Bombyx mori: one gene and its partner. The protein of the gene in region 1 interacts with the protein of each later gene in a pairwise test. Links are inferred from orthologs where the notes say so. Each region holds a gene or a part of one and is shown on either strand. Other genes may lie near its edges.

The links.
Region 2: the proteins of mothers against decapentaplegic homolog 4 (region 1) and LIM domain transcription factor LMO4 interact in binary tests that used the Homo sapiens proteins (3 or more experiments, as listed by UniProt). The link is inferred for Bombyx mori from reciprocal best matches to the Homo sapiens genes SMAD4 and LMO4.

What each region holds. Positions count from the first base shown.
Region 1 is NC_085113.1:9,087,930-9,091,688, reverse strand, and holds the start of mothers against decapentaplegic homolog 4, read left to right. Parts: upstream 1-1,247; 5' UTR 1,248-1,405; intron 1,406-2,057; 5' UTR 2,058-2,059; coding exon 2,060-2,296; intron 2,297-2,714; coding exon 2,715-2,889; intron 2,890-3,653; coding exon 3,654-3,759. UniProt on the Homo sapiens protein: In muscle physiology, plays a central role in the balance between atrophy and hypertrophy. When recruited by MSTN, promotes atrophy response via phosphorylated SMAD2/4.
Region 2 is NC_085110.1:5,592,481-5,596,239, reverse strand, and holds the start of LIM domain transcription factor LMO4, read left to right. Parts: upstream 1-864; 5' UTR 865-1,100; intron 1,101-3,759. UniProt on the Homo sapiens protein: Transcription cofactor. Plays a role in establishing motor neuron identity, in concert with MNX1, acting, at least in part, to disrupt LDB1-LHX3 complexes thereby negatively modulating interneuron genes in motor neurons.

The DNA.
Region 1 (3,759 bases):
CCCACTTTACTGACACACACTAAATTGACGTATTTGGTTTTTGTTATTTATAAAGTACGCAATGTATGTATGGTTTTAAACTAAATTTTACGTAAATGAAGGTATTTTTATAAGTTTTTGTTAGATTCGTTGAAACTAAAATTGAGAATTTGACAAAAACTGCTGTCATCGCCCAACTCGACAGATGTGTGACGTTTCGTTCCTTCGTTAGAAGTAATAGTGTTCTGTGTTTCGTTCTCAATAAGTTGGAATCACTGTTGGAACTTTCATAAATTACAATGAAGCAACTTAATCAAAGTCATTAGAATTTAAATTCTGCAAACGCACATAAAAGTTTAAGCTTTGTTAACATTATTATATGTGAACTTAGTTTATATTTAAACTTTAAAAACTAATTAATCACTAGATTATCAAAGCTGAAGCTACATATTTTACGTGACTAATTAGTAGAAAGAAAAAGTGAAAATTTTATGATCCTAGAAATGAAAATTGAGCCTACACTCCTTGTTCGCGAGAAACTTTTTATTACTATTTAAGTTGCAGTAGAGTAGACTGACAAGGACTGCTTTTAAATTTCGTTTGAAGAAACTTTTGAAGTCAGATTGAGTCCTAAGTGTGCTTTTTATGACCTACCTAACGAAATTGTTGACAAAGATGAGGTCCCATGGCAAACTTTGCATAGGTCTGCGCTAAAAAGATATAACAGATTGGAAATCAAGAAGATTTAAGGAAAAAACTTAAGAAAATTTGTGAATGATATGATAATAAATTCCATAAATTGAGCCATATGATATGTAATCTGTTACTCTGTTACGTGAATTTGACGTGGGAACTACAGATTGTAAAGGCTTCTGTTAATTTAATGTGAGAGGCTGTAGTGCGATTAGTGGGAATGATTTATTTCTCATTAAAGTATTGTATCGGGAGTTATGTATCGGACGCTAGGAATATTTTTCAGATTAGTTCGCAGATACTAATTCCGAACAAAAACATTCGGACCGCCGCGCCTGTTTACCCAGCAATTTTACCCACTCGGTGCAATGTAAAATACTTCCAAAGTATCATACGCTATTGAAATTTATCTGTTACGATTTCCGGTGCTTTGCATGCGACAACTCTAAATTAGTGCCAAGCTTATATTTAATGATTGAATGTTTATAAGTGTGCCCAATATATTTTTTTATCTCGTCTATGAGTTTTGGTTGTTTTAGTTATTTGCCTTTGCCTATCTAGGTGAATGAAAAATATCCAAAAGTTTATGATTATTCAAAATGTCGCTTTCTGTTTTGGTATCATGTCGCATTATAAAAAATTAGAAAAATTATTCAGCAATCAATGAATTACGACTTATTAATAGTCTGCTTTTGAAAATTTAAAAGGAAGGATATACCATAAGAAGTTTCAGGTAATCTTAAATTTATAATATTTCAAGTTCATGATCACGGTGCGAGTTAAACAGCTAATAATTCGATTTTGGAACTGTATTTTGAGTTAATCTTATTTTAATTGATGCATAAAATTATTGGGCCATATATGTATACCTTAGGTAATTTAGTTAAGTATCTAAACACTTAAAGTTAAAAGTAGCTTCATAAATGAAGTAAAAAAAGCTCAAGTTCTTAGAATTCCTTTGATATTGGATGCCTCATTATAGTGTAATTACTTTAAAGTTATCACTAACGTGTATTGATTTAATACTTATGTGAAAATTCGTGAACTACTTTGGTGTGAAACTAAACCATTCCATTACACCTGAGTAAATAGCAGTTTTTTAAAAATGTTATTTGAACTTAATTTGTGTGTATTAATGTAGCAAATTCTACTAAATTAAAATAACCTAAACATATTATTTATTATGTTAAATTATTTACATTATATTCTTTTATAAATATTTCTTTTAAAAAGATAGATGCATTGTACAATAAATAAACCAACAATTTAATGCATAAATAATGTATACATACATATATCTATAAATAATGTATAAGGTATATAACAAATAAAACCATGTTAGGAAACAGAATAACATGGTTTTATGTCTATTGTCTTCATTGTAGCCATGAATACGACAGCACCAACATCGGCAGATGCATGCCTCAGCATTGTGCATTCACTGATGTGCCACCGTCAAGGTGGTGAGAGCGAAGGATTTTCTAAACGAGCCATTGAATCTCTGGTCAAGAAGTTGAAAGAAAAACGAGATGAGCTTGACTCTTTGATCACAGCTATAACTACAAATGGTGCACATCCTAGTAAATGTGTTACTATACAGAGGACTTTAGATGGGAGATTACAGGTAGTTTATAAATTTATGTCATCATTTAAAATCAATTTTACAATTTTCATGGTCATTAGCATTCAATTATTATAATCCAATAATTCATTACAATGATATTGATGTTAAATGTTCTACTCGCCAGCAAAATTAGTGAAAATCCAAGAGAATAGTATTATAAATCTGGTAAAACTGAAAGTCTAGAATAATATTAATCATTAAAGTCTAAACATAATGAAACTCATTAAAGTGCTCAAATAAAAAACTCATACAAAACACAAAAATAGGCAGATTTCTTAATTTATGAAATTATCTATGCTTAGTACTTTAAACAAATTAAAAAAAATAGCATCAAATTTATGTTACAAAAAAAAAACCTAATTTTAATTAACTGTTCATATTTAGGTTGCAAAAGGCTCATAAAACTTTTTCTATTTAGGTTGCTGGTCGGAAAGGATTTCCTCATGTAATTTATGCTCGAATATGGAGGTGGCCAGATTTACATAAAAATGAACTGAAACATGTTAAATTTTGTCAATTTGCATTTGATTTAAAGTGTGACTCTGTGTGTGTTAATCCATACCACTATGAAAGAGTTGTTTCTCCTGGTATAGGTAAGTATACTATTACATATTTTAATTACATTGTCATTCTGTTCCTGTTGTGAATGTCTATCTCAATATGAGTATTGGTGCAGTCAACTCTGAAATAATGTCCAAATAAAATATCAATTCAGTGTTATGTAGAATAATAATGGGATTATAAGAAATAAAAATGTTAAAATTAAAATTTATTTTCTACAAGTAGGTACATTGGATAAATTTGAAGGATTTGAAGAGTTTCCAACATAGCCTCTTCTCACTGGGGGTTTCATCCATTTTGTAACATAGTTACACAAACTTATGTACTTGCCACATTTTCATGAACAACTGGGATGAAAGAATAACATTGTACTAAAAATAAAACCTACAACTTACAAGTTTGTATTGTTTATTAAGGCAAAATATGAGCCTGGAAAGGTAGTTGTTACCTATTTCTGCCATGAAGCAGTTTCTTTCACCTCATATCTCAGGTTGGGTAGCGGAATTCACATTGTGATGTGTGGCCTTTGGTATCTACTTAACACAATGTGAGCCATTACCTTGTTCATCAATCAATGCAATAGATGTATAAATTAAATTTCAGTGGTAATGTAAAGTATGAGTTTCTCACCATCATTATCAACCTATAAACATCAACTGGGCATACGCCTGGCCAAGATGAAAGAGTGAATATTAAATTTATTTTTAACCAGGATGTTATTTGTAACAAGTTTATTATTCCTCTTTAAGAAATTATACTTGTATAGATCAGCCTTTATAGTAAGGAGTATTTCCAGATTTATCCGGCTTGTCCCTTCAATCTGGACCCAGTAGATTAGTAAAGGACGAGTACACGGCTGGTCTAGGTGGTAACGGTATGGACATGGATACTGGTGAGATGGT
Region 2 (3,759 bases), on another chromosome or scaffold:
GGCGTTACTCACGGGTAAAAACGGTGTGGATATACAGCGGCTAAACGGTGTCCAGATAATAATAATTGCTTTCGTATTTATATCTAACAAAATTTACGTATTAAGCAGACTTCGGTTCCGGCGATCCAAACAGAGACAAAAATAAAGGTTTGAATACACTATAGGGTGAGTTGAATTCCACTTCTCTGCAAGAGCGTATTCTGCAAGAGCTCCTCAACACATTCGTTGTTTTCGTTTCATAAATTTATAATGACGAGTCACTAGGACGGTTTGCGGTAATCTTTTTGGCATATTTTAATATCTTGTTCGATGTAACGATGAGTTCGTCCTGATCGATGCATCAGTTGCGTTGGATTCAACCTTCTTCCGCCTTTCGAAGTAAGTCGATTAGAAGAGGAATCTAAATTCAATTTGCGAAGAAGTAGATTTAGAAGTAGTAGTAACTGTATTGGCTTGAGTCACGCACTCATCTTTAGCTAGGTGTGAAGACAGAAAATATTGAGATTGTATTTGCCAAACTGATGAACGAACTTACGAAGTGAAATAGATTTTTATACAGAATTTCAATAAATATTCGAAATATTGGTATCGGCATAAGGTTCCGCTAATCGTTCATGCAGCGGCCAATTTCGGCGTGAATGATTCGCCGGCGGGTGCTTTTGTGTCTTGTTCCCGATTCTAATTGAAACTATTTTGGACATAGGACAATGCGGCATTGTCCGCGTGTCCGACGGTGTTTGCTGCCTTTATTAATTCAGGTGGGCGTGGTCGCGTGTGGGCGGGTCGCGAGGCGGGGCGTGTAGTTTGGATCGTCCCAGCGGCGCAGGCCGAGCGCCGGCCGACTCTGAGGCCGCGTCGGTCCTCAGTCGCTCACTTGGTGCGACGTCTGGCACTCATCTTTGCGACGAGATCGCACTAACTTTTCCACATTGTTTACGAGTTGCTTTCGCACTATTTGCGATTCGATAAAACTTCACGAACGAAATATCTTAAGTTGACAGTGGTGTGTGACTTCGCTGTTCGTGGTCAGCCGACTGAAGGCGGTGTAGTCTTCTTTTACCAACTTTGACAAATCTTTCACCGCCCCACGTACACGCCAAGTAAGTTCAAAACATTTTTATTTATTTATGTGGATCAAAGGTGTGTCTGCGTTTTTTATATGATACAAAGATTTTCAGATGTGACAAAAGATTATTATGTAACAAAATTCTTCCAAATAATAAATAAGCACTTAATAGAAATTTCAACGTATGTAATATTTAAAAAAAAATTGTTTGATTATTTTTCTATAACTGTAATATGTTATTGAGTGTTTCAATAAAATTATCATTTTTTTTTTTCATTTTAATCAATTACATAAGTGTGTAAATCAGAGGAAAAAATATATTTTAATGTGATGAAGAAATCATATTAGTTGTTACACAAATAAAAAAAACTAATTTGTTTTCCAAAAAAATTTGTAAATTGGTACTAAACATTAATGATAAATTACATACATCGTTGATTAAAACTAGTTTTGTGTTGAGATAAAATACTGGCTTCGTTTAAAATTCATCACGTCGGAGTTCTGTTGGTTTAAAAGACTTGTACTTTAAATAATAAATTGATTCGAGTCATGATAATGCAAGATTTATACGCATTTTTAATAAGGTTATTAATTTTTTAAATTTCATAGTTTTCGAAATAAGAAGCATTAAAAGAATCATCGAATTTTCATCTTTTAAATATATCGTACCTGCTTATTGATTTATTTTTAAATTAAAAAAATCCTATTGAAATTTTGAAAATTTGTGATATTGTAAAATTGTGTGAGTTACCTCAAGAAATTGTATTTTTAAGGATATTCAAGACGAAGGACACAATTTCATTAAATCATCGAAAAACTATAGTCTAGAGATCGATAATTATTATTATTAAAACGATTTTAAAAATAAGTTTATGCTTCTCATATAGAGAAATAATTTCCCGTCTATTTCATTAAATCATGAAAACTGTACAGTTGCTGTTATTAATGATTGAGTTTGTGGTCATCGATCGATGAGCACGGAAGACTTCATATTTTTTCCAATCAAATACGCATTTAATTCTTGTTCACCAATCACTTCTACGATGACAAAATAACATTGTGTAATAAAAGTTAAAATTTGGGAGCCTGCACGGGTTGCTATCACCACCCTAGCGATTTCTATAGCGAAACAGTAATACGTTTAGACTTTAAGGATGAAATAGTCGCTATACTTCATTAAGATCGTGCCTCAAGGTGGGTGATAACCAATAACCACTTAACACCAGGGGCATTGCAAGTTCACCCATCTATATTTTTTTATTTTATTAAGGCGAACAAAAAACGAATTGATCAAAGCTGAAACTACGGTTTTGAAAAAGCTTATGCTATTTGAAAACAGATCCTAGCAAGCATTACGTTTGTAACTGAACCTTCTATGTGGGGTTTAGTATAAGCAATAATATCACGAGTATTACCTTCAATCACCACGACATATTAAATATAAGCAATAATATTACCTTCACTCGTCGCGAAATCTTACTAAAAGCACGATGTATTGAAAAGTCAATTGGAACTGTCGTCAGCATAAATTAGAGGCAATTCAAACTGAAACAAATCAGTCGTCATTGGTGCCGTAATGTTTTCCTGTCGGCTGATAAAAATGTCCGCCCGCCTAAACCGTGTACCGCTCTAGCGGCGTCGCGACGCTCCCTGGAGTTCGAGCTAGGGTTGCAATTCAGCAAATCATTAAAAAAATCACAACACCAAAAATTTCATTAGAATTAAGACATTTTTTATATTAATATACTTTATGGTGGCAGAGAATCTTTCCCAATCCAAATTATTGAATATGATTCGTGGTTTTAAACGAAAAAGAATTGGTACAGAATAATTTACGCTTGAATCTTCTATCATAAGGAATAATATTAAACATCTCTGTTTGCCTCAATATTCCCGACGTTCAAATCATAACAGCCACTTTTTTTAATCAATATTTATATAGCGGACTTCAAAAGTGCATACATAGACCGTGTATTAAAAATGGTATGAGCCCATTTTTAAAGACATCTAGGATAGTTGCCTAGGCATAAAATATCAATACGTGTTCAAAAGAAACAATAAATCTCTATATAAGTATATAAAAATGAATTGCTGCTCGTTAGTCTCGCTAAAACTCGAGAACGGCTGGACCGATTTGGTTAATTTTGGTCTTGAATTATTTGTGGAAGTCCAGAGAAGGTTTAAATGTAGATAAATATGAAAATTCTCGGAATTAAATAAAAATAACAAATTTAGTTTTTCCTTTGATGTGTGTGTCACTTCGGACGGATTCCTTTTGTTTGTTTTAGGTATATTTTATACAAAAGTTTAAAGTACTTAAATTATTGCCGGGTCAGCTAGTATGTAAGTACTTTTTTTGTCTTAGTTTTTATAATCTTAGTATAGAGATTATTTTAAGAACGTTTTGTGTTCAATACAAAGTGACAGCCCTGCGGAAATCATCGCTGACAAAGTCGGTTCCGTTTTATTGGCCCGCGATCTTTTTATGGCAATCGGCGGATCGTTTTTCCATTTCGATTGGGATACTTCGACTCTGCGGTCTCACTCCACAGATTTTTTTGTTACATTTGTTGAGAAAGTGAATTTTGATGCGTTCGTTCAGTATTGGTTGATTGGTTTTCGAAGCCGTGATTTTTTTAGTTATCTATGGCTACCTACTAAAGTAATATTCTCTAATAGAACTTAAAGGTACC